Linked DNA regions of Rhinolophus ferrumequinum. The protein of the gene in region 1 purifies or fractionates together with the protein of each later gene. This does not show direct contact. Links are inferred from orthologs where the notes say so. Each region holds a gene or a part of one and is shown on either strand. Other genes may lie near its edges. The genes, in order: ACVR1 and TGFBRAP1.

What was found.
Region 2: the proteins of ACVR1 (region 1) and TGFBRAP1 purify together in Homo sapiens (co-immunoprecipitation; 3 studies listed by BioGRID and IntAct, counting the BioPlex papers as one, with this or other methods). This does not show direct contact. The link is inferred for Rhinolophus ferrumequinum from reciprocal best matches to the Homo sapiens genes ACVR1 and TGFBRAP1.

The regions. Positions count from the first base shown.
Region 1 is NC_046291.1:63,995,101-64,007,917, reverse strand, and holds the start of ACVR1 (activin receptor type-1), read right to left. Parts: upstream 5,737-12,817; 5' UTR 5,223-5,736; intron 1-5,222. UniProt on the Homo sapiens protein: Bone morphogenetic protein (BMP) type I receptor that is involved in a wide variety of biological processes, including bone, heart, cartilage, nervous, and reproductive system development and regulation.
Region 2 is NC_046296.1:13,388-25,903, forward strand, and holds the start of TGFBRAP1 (transforming growth factor-beta receptor-associated protein 1), read left to right. Parts: upstream 1-5,271; 5' UTR 5,272-5,384; intron 5,385-12,516. UniProt on the Homo sapiens protein: Plays a role in the TGF-beta/activin signaling pathway. It associates with inactive heteromeric TGF-beta and activin receptor complexes, mainly through the type II receptor, and is released upon activation of signaling.

The DNA.
Region 1 (12,817 bases):
ATGAGCGAGCTGAACTCTTGGAGACACATCAGGACACCTGTGCTAAATGGAACCTATGACCTTGTCCCATCCTACAAAAAAACAACCTTCACCTACGGCATGAACCTCCACACAATTTGGAAAGGCTAAAATTTAAAGTCACTTTCCCAGCCACAGAAATGAAGGCCAAATACCCAGGGCAAACAATGAAGCAACCCTAATGGGCAAAGTGGAATGCTGGTCAGAGACTGAAACCCCAAAATCAAACAAACGGGGGGTAGTGGCTCTGAAAAACAAAGCTCTCATGGATCCCAGAAGAGTCTGTAGACGTATCAACAAGCTCAGATTTCCAGAAATGCATATAAGAGCACAGGAATATTATTCAACTTTGCAGTCAGTTTGAATATTGGAGACAAGGGGAGTATTTGTTTTAACTTCAAAAAGGAAGCGGCTGGGTCTCTTATTAGTTAATTATGAGAGCGTAAGTTCAAGCAAAACTACATCCCATCTGAACCAAAGGCCACGATGTGCCAACCACACCAACCTGATGAAGCTCTTTGAAAAGGAGTCTTTAACTCGAATGCCCTTTCCAACAGCCAAATCCTGGTTTGGAACTTCTGATTCTTAAACAAGCACGGCAAGCAAGAGCAGTGTATGGCCAACAGCTAAAAAAGAAGAGGTAAACCTTCCACTTGGTTCTTCGGGGAGCTGGAATTGGCCACAGAAAGGAACACAAAGTTTTCACTCCAAGAGATCAAAGAAGGCATTTTTGTACCAGGAAACCCAATTCAAGTCCTCATTTCCAGGAATAAAGCCATAGTGCCCAATACTTGCTTTGGGAAAATAAAACAGGAGACTATGTGAACTCCAATTAAAATCTCTGATGGCTTTATTTCCCAGTCTCACCAGTTTAATGCTGTCAACGTTTTACCCAGACACTGCTTTAACTGAAAAACCAACTTCTGGGGCTGAATGGTCATACTTAGCACTAGGTCAAAACGAAAGCATTTTAACACTTCATGACAGCATTCTTTGCCTCATCCGGAGCATAAGATGCGTAAGGCAAGGTGATGCTGAGAAGTGCCAGTTCTCCCAAAACCGCAGTCAGGAGAAACCACGCAGAAGCTCATGCTATTATTTTAGTCACAATACAGGTATGCCCCACTTTTCCAAAAGTTCATGTTATGCCACTTTGCTTTTATGAAAGATCTACATTAGTACCTATTTTCACTACCTGGAAAAAAAATTGGAAGAGGATTTGCGCTTTTACCAAAGAAGCCGAAAGGAAAATATGTATTTGCTTTGCAAGGATCCTTACAGAGGCAGCAGGTACCCTGAGCAGTGAAAGTTGGACCCACAAGCTTCTTTCCCAGAAACCACACTCAGCATCTCAGCGTCAAGCTGCCATAGCTTTCATCTGTGTCTGTGAGCCCCTGTGCTTTATCTCGATTTATTCTGTGCATTCCTGCTTTTAGTATACATTGTTATTTTAGTTCTCATATGTTACTTGCTATGATTTAGTAGGTTATTTTTTGGGGTCTGAGAATGCTCAAAATTTTTTTTCATGTAAATTAATAGTAATTGATTTTTTGCTTTATGTGATCTCAGCTTACAAAAGGTTCCATTGGAATGCTTTACTTCCAGATAGCTGAGAAAACCTGTACAGGAAATGAGCATGGAAGCAGGAGAAAAGAGAGGAGGGGATGCACCTCGATCTTATTTCGGATATGACAACAATCAGCTTTGCTTTAAAATGATCACCTGGGGTCCTGTCAATCAGCCATTCGTTCTGTGTGTATCACCAATACTGTATATCTCCCTACCTCCTCCCATCAATGCGTGCCCACGCGCTCACACACACGCGCACACATACACACTCCCCAGATAATCATTATCCTGAATTTGGGGTTTCCCTAGAAGTATGACTGCATCTTTATAATTACCTCCTCTTCCTAACAAGTGAGTTAGGAATATGGCAGTAATACAGTTTTCTCTGAAAAGATATCTTTAAGTTTTGTTTTCCAAAAAGGTGAATTGTCGCTTTAAAACAAAAAACATAATTAATAGACAAAGTGACACTTAGCTAAGGTAAACTCATGAATACACTGTAAGAATGAATAAAATTGAGCAAACACTGGCGAAAGTAGAGAGTCCCACAAAATCCTGGTTCAAGTCCCGGCTCCACTATTCATTAGATCTACAACTTTTTCTTCACTTAATTTTGCCAAGCCTCAATTTCTTATTGTAAAAGAGTGAAATAATAACAAAACATATGACTGTTGTGAAAATGTCATGGAAAAGTGCATGTAAAGAGCGGAGCACTGTGCCTGGTTTACTTCTCTCTAATTGCTAACAAGTTGCACGTTGATCTCTTCACATAAAAATCAACATGCAGGGATCCAACAGCAGAACAAGCACAGAGGGCTGTTCGGAGGTCCCAGCACCTCTTTGCCTAAAGGACAGTACAGCTACGCGCATTGATTCCGTCTTCCCATCGTGACCTTGAATAGCAGGATCATTTTTCAAATCCATTTCTGCCCCTTCCTCCCTCCCCCAGTAAGGCTCGCCTACTCAAGCCAACCTTACCTAGAAGCCTATCATGACCGTCACAGAACTAGTTCAGTGCAACCTAGGGTAAGGTAGAGGCATAGTCTCTATTTACTGATTCAACACTGTTATCTGTTCCATGGACAGACGCAAAAATTTAGGAAATCACAACTTTGGGAAAAAAAGTCATCACAATGCTATTAATGAAATTAAGCTCCTCACTTCTGAAATTACAGGCATACCTGGTTGGATTGTGTGTCACTTTATTGTGTTTCACAGGTGTTTCGTTTTTTACAAATTGAAGGCAAGACCCTTCAGCAAAAATATTACTATGACTCACTTTGTTGCAATACCCGCTTTATCTCACTTTATCTCGGTGGTCTGGAACTGAATTTGCAATACCTCCAACTTATGCCTATAATTACAATCCTAAATGTAGCATACTCCTCCATCTTTACTCCACTTCCTTACTATTCTCTTAAAATTATTACTTAGAGATAACAAGAAGCTTCTTTGGATTCAAATGATCACTCTCTAACAAAGTACAAAAGTTGTAAAACTACTACCTAAATCAAGTTTTATTTAAAAACACTCTCTACATTTCAAGTAAAACTCACCCATAGTGCTGGAAAAGGAAAGCAGGAACCCGGTCTATACCCATCCCAGCCCTTGATTTTTGCCCTGTCTCCAAAGTTTACTGCAACATCATTCATCACCTTTGAGTATTTGCATGAGGGGTGACAGTACAAATGCTGTTATCCAACACACAATTCCATCAGTTTAAGGCCTACATATTTCAGCTTTAAAAGACTTCCTTTTTTTAATTCCAGGACAGAAAACAGAAACAAATGAATCACAAAAAAGTGATTTGGTCTTGGGGGCGTCAGGGATGGCTCAGTTCGTTTAGAGCATGAGCTCTCAACAAGGTTGCCAGTTCAATTCCAGCATGGGATGATGGGCTGTGACCCTGCAACTAAAGATTGAAAACAGCGACTGAGCTGAGCTGCACCCTCCACAACTAGAGTGAAGGACAAGACTTGAAGCTGATGGACCCTGTTTGGAGCTGATGGATCCTGGAGAAACACGCTGCTCCCCAATATTCCCCAATAAAAAAAAAAAAAAAAAAAAACAGACAGACATAGCTTTAAAAAAAAGAGTTAATGTAAGAGAGGACTGAGTTTAAAAAAAAAAAAAGTGATTTGATCTTAAAAGCTGGGTGATCCAAGTCCTGTCTAGACCTAAAGTAACTTCCTGACCCCAATGTCCCCATCAGTGAAATGTGTGAGGCCCGTATTTCATACTTAAGCATACTGTAAAGCTGGACGGCAAACCCAGTGTCTGAGGTCAGCACAAGTCTAGTGTCCGCTGGCTGCCCAAGCCCGGGCCCCTGGCCAGCCACCCACCTCCAGAGACAAGTGCCAGGACATACTATAGTGCTTCCATTTAAGGCCCGCCACTTAGATCAGCCCATCTCTGAAATTTCTTAACACCATCTTTCCAGGAAGAATTTTTCTGGGAGAAAAGGGAGGTGGTGTCTATTTTTTGCCACCGCCTTCCCTGGGCTGTCAGAGCAGTGAACAGGGACAGGGTTCTTTAAAACCACTGGGTTGTGTCTATGTCTCAATTGGAGGTCTCTTTTCAAAAATATACAAAATATGTATGAGGTCAATCATTTTTCTCATCATCTAACTCCCATCACACACACCTCAAAAAAAAAAAAAAAAAGCCCGAAAAAAATAATCAATCCATTGTATTACTTTGCTACCTCTCTCCAAAAGCTAAATTAAGCACAACTTTTTAACCCAAGGCTTTTCTTCTGCTACTAAGTGGAATGTTATCTTCCCTAAGTAGCTTCCTCTATAGCTTCTCTCCTATGCAAGAAGTATTCAAAACTCCAGGGAAAAGGGAGGGGGGAGACATATAGTGCACAAAGTGGACAGAGCTGAGCCCGTCTAGAACCCAACAGAAGGTGGTGAATAGGGCAGCCCCAGAGACCCACATCTCTCCCCAGCGCACCCAGGGTTCTAGCCTCACTGTTTTTGTTACAGTGTTGAAGGAAGGGTTTTAAACTTGGCAAAGTACCGTGCAACATCTGTAACCACATTTGCCTTCTGGGGATCGGAAGATGAATCCCACATTCCTGGCTTTGAAGCTTTTTGAAACTGCAGCTAGGAAGAACGGAGAGGGAGGGAGGGAGTTGAGCAGAGTTTATTGGCTGTCTCTCCAGCAGAAAATTCCTTTTGGAAGCGACGGATATTTTGAGGGTGGGGGTGTTTCGCCCATCTCTTTACTCCCTACCAAGCTCAGCTAGGAAGGTGAGACCCGTGGTCGGGCGGCCAGATCGATTTACAAGTCAGAGGCGCACAGACTGAAGGAGTTCAACACACACACACACACACACACACACACACACACACACCAAACCAGAGACCCCCCCCCCCCCCCGCCAACACTCCATGCCTCTGCCCTCTCCCATAGCCCACCAGCAGTTCAGGCCCAACGCAAGACAGTTTTGTTCCGCGGCTGCTTCCCCCACCGAGAGGGGATCGAGCTTGGGGGAGAAAGGAATGAAAGCGAAGGGGAGGCACCGCAGACGCCCACCCTCCCACCCCCAATCCCAGCCTCTTCTCCCGTTAGGCTCCCTCCTCCCTCGATCCACCCGGCTCCGGCAGGCTCGGCCGGCGACCTGCCCTCACCTCTGGTCCCGCCGCGGTCGGGGGCTGAGCCGGGGGAGGCGGAGTGCGAGCCAGCCGGGCGCTGCAGGTCGGCGCGGCACCGGGCGGGCGGCCCCGGCGGGCGCGGGGCGGGGCGCTGCAGCCGGCGGGGGAGCCCGGAACTCTGCGGGGCCAAGGGCCGGCGGCCGGCCCCGAGAGGAGGCTGCAGCGGAGCGGAGCGGTGCGCGGGGCCAGGCGCTTTCCAGTCCGCGGGCCGGCACGGCTGGCCGAGGAGCAGCCCGGCAGCGGCGGCAGCAGCAGCGGCAGCCACCCCGGGGAAAGAGCCGAGGGAGGGAGGGGAGGCGGGGTGAAGAGGCGGAGGAGGAGAAGGAAGGGGAGGAGGGCGGGCGGAATAAACTTCCCGAAGCGCCGCGGCACGGGCAGGGAGGACGGCCGCGGGCGGGGCGGGCCGGCGGGTGGGGGCTTGCCCTGGGGGCGTTGGGGGAGACGACCACAGAGAGTAGAAAAGTTCCCCCAGCGCGGAGGGGGAGGTTGCTGCGGCGGCGGCGGCTGCAAAAAGCAGGAGCCGGAGCGGGAGGAGCGGGAGGAGGAGGAGAAGGAAGTGGCTGCGGAGCGATCGGCCAATGAGTGTCTGGAGCTGTGATTAACCAGGCAGCAACACATCATTTCCTCCCGGCGCAGATCCAGGGAGCCGGGAGGGAAGGGGAAGGCAGCGGGGCGGGGCGGTCCCCGCGCCCCCTGCAGGCGCCCGGCCGGTGGCGAGCTCGCGGAGTCCCGCCGAGCCTGACCTCGTCGCCCCCGGCGCGCCCCCGCGCTGTTTGGCGGGGCCGGAGGAGGCGGCGAGCGCGCCGCCCGCGGGTCTCCTCGGAGGCGGCGGGGCAGGCCCCAGCCGGGCTCCCGCGACCGGGGTGGGAGGAGGAGAGGCGTCGCGGCGCGGGTGAGTGCCCAGGTAGGCGCGGGCGGGGCCGTCTGGACAGCTCCCGGGGTGAGCGGGCGGGAGGTTCTGGCTGCCTCCCGGCCCCGGGACTGCGGGAGGCGCGCGGCTGGACTCCTGCTTGTTAGACTTAGGCTGGATTCTCAGAGAGAAGCCTCGGCATTCACATCCAGGCCATTTCTGACCTGCCTTCAAATCCCCTTCCACTTATTTCCTCGCAAGGTCGGATTATGCTGGAGCTTGCCATTTCTCAGTCGGCCTCCTTAGTAATAAAAATATGCGGGTTGGTGAGGGGAGGAGGCTTCTGCAGTAGTCTAGCCCGGTCCTAGGCGCCATGGGAGCTTACAGTGGAAAGGAAGAAACATTCCCCGCCACAGAGAGGCTGACAACCTCGGTCCTTAGATACACGAAAACACTCCAGTGTGCTAATATTATCCAGAGCATCAAAAAGGCATGCAAGGATCAAATTTTGCATGGTGCCTGCTGAGTGTAAGGAAAGCACTAAACCATTTTCTCTGCCCTCTAGAAGCTTATGCACAGTCCTATCACAAAGCAAAATACAAGCATGAAAGCCATAAATGGGAATACCATAAAGTATTTTTATCTCTACAGGTTCATTTATGCAGCAGGCATTTATTGGGTGACTGCAGTACTGCAAAAGATTGCAAAGGAAATGGAAGATCTGGGCCCTGCAGGTCAGGAATTTACAATCTAATGAGGAACACAAAACATACATAGATGAAACAGCTAGAAAATAATCCCCAGGTATTACAGAAGCAAGAAGATGGAGAAGGCTGGGTGCTTTATTATTTTTTTAAAGGGGAAGGGCTTTGTTCCTATATAATTGATGGAGATCTGGAGAGGAAATTCCAGGTCAGATAAAGCAAGAGTGCCTATATGTAGTCTTGCTCTTTAGAAGAATATAACAGGGATATCAGTGTGATTTGGTTGAAGTGTCAGCCGTGGCCACTTAGAAACTGTGTGACCTTGAGCCCATTTTTAACCTCTGGAAGAAGGGAATAGAGCCTGTCTCATGAAGTTTGTTGTGCAGTTCAAATGAGATTAGACACATGTGGACGCTTTTCAAGCTGCTGTGTAAATGTTCCTAAGTCCTGTACATTTACGGAGTCCTCATTTTACTGGCCCTTTGTTGGTAACCTTCTCTTCTAGTCTGTAAGCCCCATGAGGGCAGGGACCAGGTTTGGCTGTGTTCACAATGTATCACACCTAGCAGAGTAGCACATGTGGGTACTCAATAAAGGTTTGCTGAATAAGTGAATAAATGAACTAATGAATCCTGTTGTCCTTTTAACTGTTCCTTCAGTAGTGGTTCCTTCTTGTGTGACTGGTTCAATGCAAAAAAACCTTCTGATTTTTCCTGTGACTAATTTGTATTTCAGGAGATTATCTGGGAGGATTCTGGGTAGTTCTTGTAGACTTGTAACATTGATCGGTTGATTTTCTGTGTGTGTGTGTGTGTGTGTGTGCGCGCGTGTGTGTGTAGAGCAGGATGATACACAAGGATACAGCCCTCCGCACAAGCCCTGTCCACCCAAGGATACACCCCAAATGCAGTTCTTTGGCTTAGACACCTTAATCCAGGGTTTCTCAACCTGTGTACTATTGACATCTTTATATGGTAGGATAATTGTGTTGGGGTGCTTTCTGGTACGTTGTAAATATCTTTGTATCATCCTTGACCTCTATCCAGTAGATGCAAGTGGGACGCCTTCCTTCTACAGCTGTGACCACTAAAAATGTCTCTAGACATTGCCAAATGTTTCCTAGGGGGCAGAATCGCCCCCTGTTGAGAGCCACTGCCTTACCCCACATCTAATCCATTGATTTAACTCTGGTGGAAAACAGACCAGTAAAGTAACTTGGACGAAATACATCTTCTGTTATTCTAAGATTCTCAGCTCTCCTCCATCGTATGTTTCAAGGAGCACGACTCTAGTTAATTAACTGCCTGCTGCATTGTGAATTGGCATCTCCTGATTTCTGCATATCGTCCTCCTTTATGCCCAGATCAACATGTTCATTTCTAAAAGTCAACAGCTTTCAAAAACTATTAGGAAACAGGGTCTTGAGCAACCTGAGAGTCCTGTACAGTATTTTCCTATAAAATTTGGGGAATTTATTTCATAAAATTTTGCAGCAAGCTTTCTCATTACAGTTAAGCTCTTCGACTTAAACAATAACCACAGCCTCTCTGCACTCAGATGTGATACAGAATATAAATTGTAATTTTTAGAACTGATTTCATTTAAAATAATTGAAGTACGTAACTAAAGTGAGTGACTTCTTTTATCTTGAAGCCATTATTTTGGTTCTAGAGAGAGCTTTTATAGTGTTATAAGGGAACATGGTTTATTAAAAACCTATAAAGCGAAAATCAGCTTAGTTATACATACTAACTTCCAGCAGCAAATTCTTTAGAAGAATATTGGGGTGTTTGAGAGCTGGTGGTATTGATGAGACTCCTGACAGATTAATGTGCTACAGTTCAATTTCTAAAGATTTCTTGAAGAAAAATAAAGAATAATGGTTAAAGTAATGAGCAAATGTTAATAAGTCTGTTCATTTAGTATGGGCACATAGAACCAAAAATAAACCCTGCTCCTATCAGGCAACAGTACCAAGGTTTCTGACGTGAGCAGACATTGGTGTTCAGCAAAACAATATCTGTCTCGTTAAATAAAGTTATTTGAAACACTAGGTTTATAGTTTTGTTCATATTCAATTTTTCTATAGTTTTCTAATGGTTTCAAGCATATAGAGATTGGTTTACATCTAGTTTAGTGATTTTTCACATTGAAGTTGAACGTTGAAGACTAGAAACAGCGTAGAAAAAGGGCAAAGTTTGAGGGTTGGATGTGGCTTATGGTAAAGTGATTCTCCTATTTCTATTTTGTTAGACTGGAACTAGGACACATACTCTTAGGGGATCTCCAAGTTCTTTATGAAATCCATGAAATTTGTGCTTTGGCTTCAGTTACAGTATTTTTTAAACAAATTAATAAATTAACTATGATACATATTCATGATACTATGATACTAGATCATCTGAATGTCTACCATGCAAACGATTTCGCTATCCTTTTTGGCTATGTACCTGTAAGAACATGCAGCTTATTCAAATAATAATTGCAATAAAAATAATTTAAAGTATCAATAAAGGTCCATGAAGATTCTGTTTTTCCTTTTAAAGCTGTCTATACATTATTCAAGCATGAGAAATACTGACCCAGCTGCATCATAACTATTCTTGGAGAATGATGAATTCAATGTCCTTGACATCTGAAATTTAGTCCTAATCCTGAAGCCCATAAAAAAAAAAAAAAACCAGTACTGTGTTCCAAAGATCTAAGTGAATGGATCAGAATACTAGGGGATGGAAGAGAAAAATCAACCTGAAAGGGTCACTACAAATCCTATCAGGCCTGGCTCCCTTTTCCCCAAAAGGTAAACATTTAACCAGTCAGGACAGACACTTATTAATCTTCCAGTTAAACTTTCCCAGGTGTATGAAAGACTCATTAATTGTTCATTTCATACAAGACTTTATTGGCTGTCTACCATATTCAAGGAACTGTTGGAGCTACACGGGGAGTCCTCAAACAGCCCTACAGTTATTTCCCACTTGGGAAAGTTAATACAGTCACCTCCTGGCACAGCAGGTTACATGCAAACCAGTGTGTGGCTATGGGCCAACCATGTGATAAAAGAGACATCACAAAACCATTACAGAAAGGAAAGATTATTCATTCAAACGATGTTGAAGCACTTGGGGAAAATCCTGTTAGTGCTTCCTCTCATACCATTTCTGAAAATATTTCCAGAAGGAATAAAGAGTTAACATTGTTTTAAATGACAAATTAAAGCAAATATAGTCAGATAATATGTTTGGATTGAAAAGGACTTTCTAAATTAAAGCTATATAAGAAATAGATTGGTAGGCTTAACCATGGAAAAATTTTTCCCTAAATTTTTTTTTAAGTAATCAGAAGAAGGAAAAAGCAGAGTAGTGAAACTACTTACAACATATACTCAAAAGGTTCAAGTCTTTAATAGATTAAACAAAACAAAAAATTCTTACAAATCAACCAAATGCAGCCTTTAATAGCAAGTTGGGCAGATGTCATGAATGGACAAAGACAAAAATTACCATGACCATCAGGAAAAAATTTTACTCTAAAAATTGAAGAAAAGGTAATGCAAACCAAACAGATGAAATATTTCACACAATTTGTTAGCAATTGAGCATATTCTCTACTGGTAAGACTGACTTTATAAATGACAGTTATAGAGAATGTAAACTGGGAAATGATTTCTTGAAGAAAATTAAGTAACATATATCAAATGCCTTAAAAAATATTTATACCTTTTGACACTTTAATCCCATTTCAGGAATTTATGCTGTGAAAATAATCATCAATGGCACAAAGATTTGTATAAAAGGGTAATCATCGTCTAGTAATTTTGGAAATGCCAACAATAAAGCGTAAGTTGAAAAAAATAAAATACAAAGGTAGTATTCCAATTCCAGAACCCTTATAAGCACATGAATCCCTCACACTCACATGTACACAAAGAGAAAAGACTAGAAGAAAATATTCCAGGATGTGCAGTGTTATCTTTGGATCATGGATATGGTTGACTTTTATTTTCTTCTGTACACATGTCTGTGTGTTCAAACTTTTCTATAACGTATTACTTGTATAAGCAGAAATAATAACAATTATAAAAACAGAAATGCACATATTTCAAAAGGGTCTGATAATCATAGAGCAACACCTAACTGGTGAGGAATGTATGTGGATTTATATTTGTGAAGTGGGAGGCAGGATGCAGAGAATGTAATTCGAATCTCGTGTTTTCTTGCTCTGCTGGTAGATCAGACTTAGTGCCTTCTCTCATTCTTTGATTGCATCTTTGTGACCTTTGGTGACCATTTCCTTGTAACCTTGAGGGCTAGATGCTCATCAGGCCTGTCCGTGGTCTTGCTCATGTTCTGAAGCTGCTTAAGTTTCTAATTTACTTAACTAAAGCTGATTTAGCTACACTGTGGAGATGTGGATTTTTAAAAGCTAGTCCCTGGATGAATGCCCTCAGCTGATCAAATTAATTTCTTCCTCAAATTAAACAAATATACTTCAGATATAATCTTGGTAGAATCCAGTATCTCCGTGGCTTTTCATTTTTAGGGAACATTGTTTTGCCTGATTGGTCCCTCTGAACACTGGCATCATGAAGACATGTTCATGGATAAGAAATCAAATTAATTTCCCAAGTCCTTGTGTGGCCCCATTCTACCAATATCTAAAATCCAAAGGCTGCCTCTTTATTAACCTACTTTTGTTTAATGAAACTCCAGAGAGCTAGCTGCTAAGGTTAATTACATGTAGCAGAAAACTTAGGCTGTGTAACCTTCAGCAGGTGACTTCAGGTTATAGAGCCTAGGTACTCCTCAGGTGTAAAGTGAGGGATGAGCTGCATTTCAGAGGTCTCTCAGTTTTGAAATTCCGTGACTTGAGTTGCAATTCCTCAAAAGCCTATTGTCTGAAGTTGCCTATACTATGTTTGACATTTCTGCAGACAAGGAAGGAGCTTAAGATACTTAGGAAGTGACGGAAGGCCAGCATGACTGGAGAAAAAGTAGCATGTGGCAAAATGTCCATAGAGAAGGATGGAGGTGCCCTGGCCCAATCATGCAGGTCTCACAAGGGAAGTAATTAAAAGTGTTTAAGCAAGAAGGCAGGTAGTGAGTGAAAAGTTTGCTTAACATCACTTATCATTACACCCAAGACATCTATATCCCTTTGTTAACAAGATTTTTCCCTATAATTATTTTGTTTAAAAAAAAAAATACAAGAACAAAAGGATATACTGTGTAGTGAAACGGAAGTTCCAGAACCACCAGTCTCCCAGCCACCCAGTTCCCTCTCCTTAATGCCAGCTGCTGTGTATCCTTACAGAAATATTGTAAACATATGAAAGTACACGTGGATTCGCTTTTGCTTTAGCACAGATAGTAGCAGGCTATACACACTCTATCCTTTGCTTTTTAAAAAAAAATCAACAGCATATCTTGAAGATTACCAGTTCTTATGAATAGTCTTTGTTATTACAACAAAGTTATTATATCCAAAGTTTTACTACTGTTATTGAGTCCCCACTCAGAGAAGCATAAACTCACAGAACTCTAAATTTGGAAGGGACCAAAATCTCATGTCGTCCCAGCCCTGCCTTTTACATGTGAAAAACTTTGTCCTTGAAAGATCGCGTCATTTCTCAAGGTCTCCGAGCTGGTTAAGATGAGACTGGATCTGGTTTTCCTAATCACCCTCCAGTCCCATTATATTTTCTGATTATAAACTTATACATGGTGTAATTAAAAATATTTTTAAACAATATGCATGGTATGATCTGATTTTTATTCTTGAAACAAGTGTGTATGAGGTACAGAAATGAGTTTGGAAGGCTACACACCATGATGCTCGTAGTGGTAATCTTGGGACGGGGGCAGTGCTGTGATCTTTATACTCTTTTCTTTTTTATAGCAACTTTATTGAGATATAATTCACATAGCATACAATTCACTCATTTAAAGTGTCCAATTCAGTGGTGTTTAGTATATTCAGAGATGTGCAACTAACACTACAATCAATTTTAAAACATT
Region 2 (12,516 bases), on another chromosome or scaffold:
TCACTGTGTGCCAGGTAATGCATTTTATATGGATTACCTCATTCCTCAGAATGGCCCTATGAGGCGTGTATTACTAAAACGCTTGTTTTTCAGGTGAGGAAACTGAGGCATTAGGGTAATTTGCTCAAGATCATCGGAAGTAGCAAGGTTGACATTCAAGAACATTTTCTCTGCACTTACAAAGAGAATTGGAAAATAAGTGAGATGCTAAATTAAAAAAAGCGATAAAGTTGAAAAGTGTTTTGCAATTTTTCTTTATCATTTATGTATATGATACTTTATCTAGAAATTTCAGACCCGGGCAGAAACTTAAAAGTTACTCAGTTCAGTTCTTCCATTTTAGTGCTGAGGAAGTTAATCGGAAGAAAATTAAATGACTTGTCCAAAGTGGAACAGAGTTGTAGAACTGAGCTGAGGTGGCATTTGGATGCCCTTATTTAGAGTTAAGTGTATTAACTTCATGGTATTAGCATCATAGTGTTTCATATCCAAGATGATTTTCACGACAAGAGTGAAATCAGTGTGACTGGTATTACGTTGTCCCCATGTCCTTCACCAAAAGGCACATGGTTTTAGTGGCAAAAGCAACTGCCTTGCAAGAAGTCGGGGAAAGCTAGACCTCGGTTCAGATTTTGTTCTGCTATATCAAGACCTTGTGTGAGTTACTCAGGACTCTCAGCCTCAGTCTTACCAGAAAAATGCTCTGCTGACACCTTCCGTGAAGAATTACCAAAGGATTCTTCTGCCAACTGCATTTAGCACAGAGTAGGTGCTCAGCCGGTAGCTGATTTTAGAAATACTTCACGTCTCCCCTCAGCTTCCTCACCTGTACAATGGAAATGACACCACCACCTCCCAGTGTTGGGAGGTTGCAGCCGAAGTATGAAAAGTGCCTCCTCTGTTGCCTCTAGCTGGAGATTTGCTGTGGCCTTTGACTGTCATCAAAGGACAGAAGTGGCAGGATGGTGGTGGAGGTGGGAAAAAACACTTTGAGTGTAACAGTCTGAAACTGTGGTTACAGCTCCTCGCTGTGTTCTTTCTACTTGTAGTTTCCTGGACCAGTCACCTAACCTGAAACCTCAAGCTCTTCATCAGCAAAAATGTTCTGTGGCAGCTAAGATCTGTGCTTTTTTTTTCTCCCTGTAGTTCCCAGTTTAAAACTAAATCCATTAAGATAATTCTAGGTGCCCCTGAAGCTAAAACCTCTGTATAGAGGGAGTATCCCTACGAGGCAGGAAAAAAGCAAAAACATCAAGATTCAGAGAGGAGGAAGTAGATTAAGATTCTAATCCCCCTTCGGCGCCGAGAGAGGGAGATACTTTGGGAACGCCTGTCCCCTTAATTCCACTCTGAGCGGAGCTTTGGCGAGTGCAGCCTCAGGGTAGTTGCAGTCTGTTAACTGTATTCTAATCAGCATTTCTGAGGTAGGAATTTGGGGTGGGCGGTAGAATTTGCATTTCTAACAAGTTCTGAAGTGCTGTTTCAAATATGTCTAGGTAGAAGGGCCACCTCACAGAGATTCCTGCCACATCATAGGCAGCCACAGACGTCCTCGACCCTCAAGCCAGGCTAGTTACTATGATTGGAAGGGCCAGGCCCGTCAGCACTGAGACCAAAAGACTGAAAACCCACACCAGAGTGGACAAAGAACATCTTAGAATCCTTCTGGGGACCAGTGGTGCAAAGATCTGATGTCTCCCGCTTCTCATTGTGGCACTTCAGAGGTTGCGGAACCTAGACACAGCCCTGAGGAAGGGGGCGGGCCTCCGTTGATAAGATTATTGTTACTGCAGCCAAGTGGGGTCTTAAAATAGAAATAATGCTCACAGAAAACAAAACTTCTATTTGTTACACACTTCAGTTGTAGATGGAAGTTTATTATCTGTGAGTGTTATACAGTAACCATAAATTTTTAAGTTCAGTCTGAGAGTTTTCCCTTCACTCAAAGATCGTGGGGTTTTATTCGTTAACGTGTTTATTTGGTACCTATAGTTGACAAGAACGAAGCTGAGGGAAACCAGCAGACAGCCTTGCCTGGCATCATCACCTCATTAGGTTAGGAGTTCCCCCAGGACAGGGCCATATATTTCCCTTGAATCTCCCACCTGGTCACTGGCATGCACAGTGCTTGCACTTAGTAGGTACTTAATAAATGTTTTTGAACGAATCATAAAATGTATACTGAGAACTTTGAGTGTTGTTGATTCCTCTTTCTTAGTGTAATATTTAAGGTACTTGTTACAAATGTCAAAAATATATCTGAGCATAATTCAAAGAGCTTCAAAGTGAATGTAATAATTTAAAAAATATTTCACATTTTAGACCTGTGTTTTTAGCTATTTGGAGCCACAGTTCTGCTTTGAGTTTCAAATAACTACCATAATAATAATTGATTATATTTTTTATTATTGTCCTTTCTCATTCTTTTTACAATCAGATCATCATAAAGATGCATTCACAGACAAACTCCCTACTGGCTTTCTTGTAAAACCCATCTCATAGGACACTTGTTTCATGAGTTCCTTTAAACTGTCTCTTACATCTTTGCGTTCTCAGCACCCAGCACAGTGCCTGGTACACAGTATAAGAACAGTAAGTGTGTGCTGAATGAATATGAATAAACCTTTCCAGATCCTCAAGCACTTCCTAACTGAGGTCTCTCCTGTCACCTAGGATCTGGTTGGGGGGTAGTTCTTCCACATACCCCACTAAATCAGTGGTTCTCAAAACTGAGTGAGCTTTAACTTAAAGTCACCTGGAGAGCTTGTAAACAAACAGTGTGCTGGGCCCCACCCCCAAGTTTCTGACTTAGGAAATGTGGAGTGTGGGCAGGGGGATTTGCATTTCTAACAAGTTCCAAGGTGACGTTGGTAGTCGCACCACTGAACTGAAGTAAGCTGCTTGAGGGCAGGGCCTGTGTCCTTGTTTTAGTATCCCCAGCAGCTTCTACCATAGGACCTGGTACCTAGGAGCTCTTCAAGAAATATTTTATTTGATTAACAGTTTAAAAAGTATATTTTACTGAATCTAGATTACAAGTCTATGAATATATGTGTATATATCATTAAATGAGAATACATATAAGAGCTCTTAAAACATGGCCCATATTAAGCTATGTTTGCTAAAAATAATAAATGTAACCTTTGTTTAATCTCATCTTCTAAAATGATACCCAAATTAGATGTCACTTTTAACAAGAGAACTTATAAAGTAACAGAATCTTAGCATTAAAAGCCTTTTTTAAAGATAACAGTTTATTAATATTAAGTATCAGGAATTTGAAAAATTGGTTGAGTGCTTCCTACGTGCAGATAGACATTGCGAGAACAAGATAGACACATTCGTCCTTAAGAGCCTACAACCAGTGAGGAACTTTAAGTGTGAGTATGTGTAAGTGTGAGGATGTTAAGTTTGGGGAGTAGATGGCCACTATAAAGCATTCGGTTGTATCTATTCAATCTTCATTAATCTATTAGAATACATCTTTTTTATATTCTATAAGATACTTTTGACATGCTTAATATGGACCCAAGGAATATTTAATAAATGTTTAAAAGTTAACAACTTTGAGGCTGGCCCGGTGGCTCAGGCCGTTGGAGCTCCGTGCTCCTAACTCCAAAGGCTGCCAGTTCGATTCCCACATGGGCCAGTGGGCTCTCAACCACAAGGTTGCCGCTTCAATTCCTCGAGTCCCACAAGGGATGGTGGGCAGCACCCCCTGCAACTAAGATTGAACACAGCACCTTGAGCTGAGCTGCCACTGAGCTCCCAGGTGTGGCTCGGTTGGCGCGCATCCTCTCAACCACAAGGTTGCTTGTTGGATTCCCGATAGAGATGATGGGCTGCACCCCCTGCAACTAGAAAATGGCAACTGGACCTGGAGCTGAGCTGCACCCTCCACAACTAAGACTCAAAGGACAACAACTTGAAGCTGAGCGGCACCCTCCACAACTAACATTGAAAGGACCACAACTTGACTTGGAAAAAAGTCCTGGAAGTACACACTGTTCCCCAATAAAGTCCTGTTCCCCTTCCCCAATAAAATCTTAAAAAAAAAAAAAAGTGAACAACTTTGAAAAACATATGACTTTGATATTTCTTCTTAAATATAATCAATCAAAACAACATAAGGAATTTAGAATTAGCCGTGGGGCAAATATTCCCACGCTTATGGAATAATTACACACAGGTTCCTCTCACATGTGAAATAGACCTCTCAGAAAGTTCCAGGAAAAACAAATGTTTCTAGATAGGATAATGTGCACATGTGGAGCTTGCCATCTTAAAAATCCTATGGTAAATCCTTTCATAAAGGAAATTATTATTTCCAAATTATCTTTCTTCCCTTTTTTTGTTAATATACATTTTTACTCCTAGATTGATTAAAGCAGAATACAAATGTTCCATAAACTTCAATCAATAGAACTTAATTTTATCTATATAAAAAATTCACTGTGTTGTTGAATTCTGGGTTCTTTGCTCTGTTCTTACTACCAGGGAATTTGGGATAAGTCATTCACTTCTTTTTGCCTGTCACTCATCTGTAAAATGGAGAAATTAATAGTGCCTACTTCATAAGGACAGAGGCTTAAATGGGATCATTGCTGTAAGGCTCTTAGCCCAGTGTCAGGCAGTCAGTAGATGTCACCTGTGACTAATCTTGTACAGTTCTCTGTACCCTGCAAATGTGGCTTTTAGGCCCCGCTGGTCAGTGATTAGCTGCTCAACAATACATTTCAGTGCCATAAGAAACACCCCAGCAAGACTTTGTCAGTCAGATGGCAGCCTGGTCAAGCATTTCCCAGGACTGATTGATTGGTGGTTGGTTGGTTGGTTGATTCATTCATTCAGCAGCTATTTCCTGGGTCCTACACTACATCCAGCCTGTTTTGATGTTAGAAATAGGAGTGGTGAGCAAATCATGCAAGGCCAGTGTTTTCATGAAGCTCTACGTGCCGGTGGGGGAAGAGGAAATACACTAATAACAATCATTGCTAACACTTCATGAGCACCCACCCTGTGCCAGTCAGCGTTCTAAGTCCTTTACAGGAATTAACTCCTTTATCCGACCGCCCCACGAGGCAGGCGCTACTGTGATCCCTTAGTCTAAGGGAAACTGAGGCTAAGAGGGATGCTCCACTGGGCGCTGGGCCAGGAGTGTGGTTTCTAGCAGCCTAGGGACGTCCCGACGGTCGTGGGGCGCGGGGACCAACGCGCTCCCGCCCTCCCGGCGCCCGGCGGCCGCCCCACGTGACGGGAAGCGACGGCGGCGGCGGCGGAGCCGGACCAGCCCAAGAGCCGCGGCCGGGAGCGGGCGGCGGGCGGCGGGGGGCCCCAGGCCGCAGGGCCGGCGCGACGGTAGAGGCCGGCGCTGCGCCGCGCGGGTGAGTGCGGAGGGCGGCGGGCTGCCGGGGCACGGGGCGCCGGCAGGAGCGCGCGGAGAAGGGGGCTGGAGGGCGGGGCCCCGTGGAGGGGGCAGGGCGAGCGAGTGGGTGCCTGGGGGGTCGTGAGCAGGCAGGTTAGTGTGTGCGGGCAGGAATGGGGGGCAGAGTGCCTGTCAAATCGAAGACAGGTGTGCCAGTGTGTGGGGGGGTCGGGGGTCGGTGCACGAGTGTGCACATGTGTGTGGACTGGGGCAGGTGTGCCCGAGCCCGGGATCCGCGGTGTGGTCGTTGTGGCGTGGAGGAGAGAGTGGGTGCGGAGTGGGCGTGTGTTTCGGGCAGGGGAGGATCAGAGACCTCGTCCTTGAATTGAGGTAGGCGTTTAGTTTTCTGGAGGGAAGAAGAGCAGGGAAGACTACACCCTTGTGTCCCTTGCCCTTCCACCCCTTGTATGGAACGGTTTTGTCGCTGTAATTGATGTTTCCTGGAGCTGTTGGGATTTGAGAGCTCAAATTTCGGGTCGCGTTCGGGCCTGACTTGTTGCCCTGAACTGGGAGACTATGCAGGGTGTGTTGAGGAGGGCAGAGACCGGCCGGTTCACAGCCCCCTTCAGCAGGGCCCGGAGCTGCCACCCCCTGCGATTTGCCTTTTCCTGGCCTTTTGTTGGGGCAGGTGCAAGTTGGGTTTCCAGTTTGCCTCCCTCTGTGTTATATGGGGATGACTCTAAAGACAGAAGCTGTCCTTTGTCGCCTCCAGTTGTCTGCACCTATCATTGCTTCCACCCATGGACTGTTGAGCAACCCTCACAAAGCCCCCCAGGCTGTTCTGGGGGCTGTCTGGCTGCTGGAAATGGGGATTCACACAGTGCTTCTTAATGCAAATGACTGTATGGGGTGCTGGGGTCAAAACATGTCAGAGCGGGGTTTAATCCATGGTGAAGTGCTGGTGGGCAGGCGCCTGTCTTCTGGAGGAAAGGCCCAGCCGGAAGGCACTGAGAGAAGTGTGTGAGGAGCCTTTGCAGCGTGAGCGGGCTTACCTGAAGTCCGAACTCACCACGTGGAGGGGCCTGTGGGTGCCCACTACGCTCTCCTCTGGACCCGCTTCTCTGGTGCTCAGCCGGAAACTGGTGGAGAACTGAGGGCTCCCAGCGCTCTGGTCAGATAGGAAGAAACATCTAGCCAGCTGCTTCCCTTTTCTTTCCATTTCTGCCAGCCAAGCAGTCTCGCAGTCATTGGGGCAGCCTCTTTGGTGTGTAGCACTAGAAAGAACCCTGACCGGATCCCCTGGGAGCCTGTCTAGAACTAGCCCTTCCAGGGCCCAGTGCATCTAAGAAATGGGGGCAGTGCTGCTCCATGGTGCTGAGCATGGAATTGTGGGTTCAAATCCTGCCCCCACCAGTGTTCCCCAACTCAGTTGAAAATCCGCTTTTTGACTTCTCCAAAACTTAACTACAGTCAGTCGTCCCTGGGTATCTGCCAGGGATTGGTGCTAGGACCCCCGCGGATACCAGATCCTCAAGTCCCTTATATACAAGGGCTTAGACCCGTGCATAAGATCGGCCCTCCTTATCTGCGGTTTCCCACCTGCGCATCAAAAATACTGTTTTCTGTCCACAGTTAGGTGAATCCATGGATTTGTAACCCAGGTTTACACAGGGCCGAGTGTGTATTTATTGAAAAAAATCCCTGTGTTAGTGGACCTGCGCAGTCCAAACGCATGTTGTTGTTCAATGGTGAGCTGTAATTGTTAACCCAATGAATACTTCTCTCTGGGGTTTGACTCCTCTTGGGACCTGATCCCAATTTGCTGTACGCGTTACAGTGTATACATTTTACTAAGAAATTGAGTGATACCTTTTCCCCTTTTCCCCTCTTCCCCTCCATCGTCAACCCTGAGCAGCAGAACTCTGATCCTGGAGTTGGAGGTGGCGGGTGTTATCCACCACTGCAGGCTCCTAGGACACTTCAGCCTCTGCCTAACCCCCTATGACAGATTTGTAAGGGCCCATTCTCCTGTTATGCAGCTCCAGCTGACACGTTTTAACAACACAGAGCTCACTGTTTTAAAAAGGCTAAATTTTCTAGGCCTTATTTGTAGCTAGCATTTCTGTTTAGGAAAAAAAAAAGTTGTTATTATGGCTAATTTCTTCATGCTAATATTAAACATTTGTGATCCTTTAAGAAAACTTGAGGAAATTTTATTTAATGAGTTAAGCATCTTTATCTTTGATTCCAATTCTTATTAGAAATACATTAGTCATTTGTGGGGGCCAGGTGTTTGGATACTGCCAAATAATTTGGCCCATACTTTACAATTCATCTCCTCTGTGGCAAACCTGACCCATTTTTCTTTATTGAAAAAAAAACATAACTACTAAATGAATGTAGAAGTAACAGTTTCATCTGGGGCCATCCCAGATGAGTCTGAGTGCTTTGTGAAGTCTTGCAAGGGATTTGGAACGAAGATTTTTTTCTTGATAGTCAAGTAGCTGCTGTTGAGTAAATTAAAGATTCAAGAAAAACAATGTATGTGAAAGGACAATTGCCTAGGATCCAGTAGGCACTGGATAATTCCTTGTGGCTGTTTAAAGGTCCAGTATTGAGGAAGATGTCATAAAGGAAATGCCCTAGATACTCATACTCCCGCTCTGCTTCTCTGCCACCTTTCCCTGCCCTTCCCAAAGCCTGTCCTCCGTGATGACTGTCGATGTGACTATTGTAGGATGTATATGATATACATAGATAGACACACTATATGCATGTAGATGTGTATATGTATACACTTATGTATATATATTTACACATATATTTAGATAATCTAGATAGTGTTACCCAGGGAAAGGATAAAAGCTATGACTAGTCACATCTAGGTATGTACCAGAATAATATCAAGACGACAAGTTAGATGTTATACCTTAGTTGTATTTTTTTCCTTCTTTCTTAACATACTCTCTCAGGTCGTGGAAACAGTTTTCTTATGCTATAACTTGTCTAATGCTGCCTCTGTCACATGAGCGCGAAAGATAACATTAAATGTTTGTCAGGTAGCATCCTAATTTTCAAAAGTGGGACAAGCTGTCTGTGGTACAAGTCAGTAAATTGGTTGTGGATTCCTGGAAAATTTCAGGATTGAGCCATGGAGCAGATGGCTGTGAGAAGTTAGAGAAGAGCCTGGGACCAGCATGGGGTGTGGTTCCATAAGAACAGCGTGTGTCACATAAACATATATCCTGTTCTGATAAAATTACGAGGTTAATGGAGAAGTGTGTGAGTGTATCATTCTGTATCTGAAATTTAGCAGGGCAGTACTGACGCTGAACCCCATTTGGTGAGAAGCATTTATTTGTGACAAAGGTTGTGTAGGGGGCAGAGGGCAGGGGCAAGCCATTTTGGAAACAGAGAAACCTACGTATGAGGGAGGAGAATAGGATGCCTTCTCTAGACTCAGTATGGGAAGGCCAGGGCCCTACTGATAACAAGAGTCCCTTAGGAGGCGTTACAGCAGGACACTCATATCACAGTGGTATCCTGTTTAGAGTCATCGCTTTCTTCTAAGAGCATCTGAAATCACACTTGTCCCCTTCGGTCAGTAGAGTGGAAGAATATGGCCTTGAAGTCAAAAACAGAAACTGGTTGGAGTCTCTGTTTCATCACCTGGTAGCTTTGTAACCTTGAGTAAGCCACCAAAAATCTGTGTGTCCACCTCTCAGAGTAGTGTGAGAATGAAAGGAAATCATTTATGTCAAGTACACAGTATCCCACCAAACCCAGTGCTCAGGGGCTCTCGAAAGGCGGCCATCAAGGCATCGGCCACAATCACTGGGTGCCCATCCTTCGTCCAGACTTGGAGCAGCCTCTGTCCCTGGGCAGCCAGGTGGCTCCGTGCTTAAGGGCGTGTGCTCCTGAGACAAGCTGTCCGGGCTGGGATCTCAGTTCTCCATGGTCATTCAGCCTTTTGAAACCTCTATTTCCTCCATTTCCTCCCTTGCAGAATGGAATTATGATACTACTCGCCTCATAGGTTTGCTGTGAGCGTGAAGAGAGCTTTTAATGTGGAGCCTGGCACATAATGAGCCTTCCAGAAGTCTTAGCTCCTCTACCATAGTGTTATTACTACCCTGTCCTCCAAAGGAGCTGGAAAATGCTACAGGGGAAGCATGGCGAGTCCCGATTCCTATTTCACAAGGAGGTGATGGGCCCAGAGGCTATAAGTGACTTGCCCCAGATCGGAAGCAGTTGGCCAAGCCGCTAGAGCTCAGGATCCCCAGGTCAATATTGAGAAGGTCTGCTTTGCACCATGCCGCCTTCAGCACTGTTCACCGCGTGGCCCAGGTTAGCTCCGGGGCCTTGCGCCTGACAGAGAGAGGGAGGGCATTTACAGAGCCTCGCCTCTGCTCTTTCCTAGCTTCTCTTGCCCAAAGCCCTACGGCTGGCCATCAGAGCCCCTCACCTGCCTGCTTTTCCTGACGTTTGCGGTATATCAGAGTTTGGACTCCGCAGGAGTCAGCTTACATGTGCCCCAACCCAATCTGAATTCGTCTATGTAAGAAGTCTTCAATGAGCATAAGTCCCAAAGTCTCCTCTTGGAAATTCATTTTCAGGAGAAAAAACTTAATTTGTACATATTTTTCATGTCTATAATTTGAAGCTAGAACACTAAATTGAGAAAAATCACCTCCAAAAGTAACTGTAGAAAAAAGATGGTGCAATGGCCCCAGCATCCCGAGGCCCTAAGGGGCATTCTGCTGGGCTGCTGGTCATTGCCTATTCCATTTTCTCTCTTTCAGGTACTGACACTCAGATCATTCTGAATGTCTCCTTTCCTGATAGATTACACTAAGGCAAGGTAATAAACCAACAACTGTGATTACATTGATCTTTGTATTTTAACTTTTGAAGTAGCTTTGGGCTTATTAAGAGATGAAAAATGATAGAGTTCGCATAAACTCCTTACTTAGCTTCCCCCTTCGTTGACATCTTGTATGACCATAGTATAGTGATCAGAACTAGTAAGTGAGTATCAGTACTGTTAACCAAACTACAGACTGCATTCGATTTCACCAGTTTTCCCACTAATGTCCTTTCTGTCCCACAATCCTGTTTCTGATCTAGTTTCCCCACATCGCATTTAGTCGTCCTGTCTCCTGGGTCTCTAACCTGTGACAGTTCCTCAGTCTCTCCTCTTTTTTCATGACCTTAACACTCTTGAGGAGAGTCAGGGATTTTGTAGATGTCCCTCAGTTTGGGGTACTTTGGCGTTTTCTCATGATTGGGTTGTGGTGACTTTGTTTTCTCCCCAAGAATACCACAGTGGTGACATGACTCGATTACATTTGAGTTTAATGTTGGGCTCCACTCTGTGTCCCCCTGAAGCAGCAGGAGCAACAGGGATGAGACTTCCCTGGTTCTCAGGAAGTTCGCTGGTGCCCAGGCCCCAGTAAGCAATTCTCCCTCCCAGTGTCTCCCACCCCCCTGCGACCTGCGACATAAATGTCCTCTTGTTCCCTGTTAAGTTTCTCTGTTGTTTCCACATGCCCAGTCCCCTAATTACTCTGTTATGTTACCTTGAGGATTTAGGATCTTTTTCTGAGGCGCCAACGGCAGCTGGAAAAACAAAAATGTCACGCCTTCTTGAACACACATACTCAAATTAATGTTTGTGACCACGGAGCCTGAAAGTCGTATCAAACCTCATCTGACTTTAGAGGGGCCGCTAAGATAATTCTTACTTTTTTTTTTTTATCTTGAGATGATGTCGATTGTAATTACAGTCAATTTATATCCTCAGAAGAGAGCTAATTGGCCCCCAAACCACCAAAATTCATCTTTTAGGTGCTTACTAAAGTTTGAGATGCTGACGGGGTTTTATTGAGTGTGTTAATTCTGCAGGCTGTGAAGGTGAGTGTCAGAGAGCCAGTAAAGCCCCCTATAGGAATTGGAGGTGTTTAGCAGTTCGATTTTTGTAGAGGACGTCAATTAACATTTTCTTTCGCTCATTTAGCACAAAGAGCATCTAAAGGTAGCTGCAATGAAAGAACGTTTGCTAGCAGTGTTTGCCTTTTCCCACCCACTAAAGAATTTTGAGTCTGTGATTGGGCTATTCATTTCGTCAGGAACATAGCATAGGCCAAATGAAAAAAATACATCCCGTCATACCTCTACCTGTCCTGCTGGATACCTGTGACAGTGTGGCCAAGAGAGGAAAGATGAGCGTGGGGGTGGGCCAGTGTCAGGGAGGAGGACAGGAAGATCAGAGTTTGTGCTCAGTGCCACAGGGATGCAAAAACAGACGTGGGACACTGGGCAGCAGGTCTCTTAGTAACTGCCCACACCATTTCTATTTTATTATAAGCTGACGTGAGCCAGGCTGATGCGAACACCTGCCCGAACCCAGCTGAGTCCTCCACCTGACTTCTGGGCTATCCCAATCCAGGCATCAGGTCAGTCCCTTCACTGGGACCACTAGAAAACTGGCCCCTGAACTGGCTTCTAAGTTTTCCTCCCTTAAACATCATTCAGGTTCAGCCTAAAACAATATGGGGAGTAATGCAAGGTGTCCTGCCATCTTGGAGAGTGCTCCTTTCTGGCCCCTTCCCCTTCCCCCTGATGATTTCCCTCAGCTCTGTACTCTGCACTTCAGCTTTTTCTCCTGATCATATGGGGCCAACACTGGGACCCGGCGACCTGGAGCTGAAAAGAACCCAAGACATTTGGGAGGGCCTGTATTCTCCCCCAGCCTTTCCCAAGAGTGTAAGAATGTACGACAACTTTTGTTAATTGCCTTAGAGGTTTGTTTTTTAGCACTGATATTTTCAGTTTTCTTGAAGCTGTTCCCCTGTAGTGGATATTGGTATCGGTCTATGGCTTCGTGGTCTTCATAAGTACATCTACCTTGGTGAATTGAGAAACTTTTTAAGAAATTTTTTTTTTCTATAAAAGAAAAGTCATATATTAAAGTGGCACAAGGTAAACTTTTAAAAATTCATTGTATTTATAGAAATAACTGCAAACCACAGGAAGATTCAAAGAACACAAGCCCCCTTCCACCTAACACCCGGTGGAGCTTCATGTCCACCCCACGCCCACTTGCGATGTGAGCTTTGACCCCTCCAAAGCTCCTGCTTTCCATACAAGGG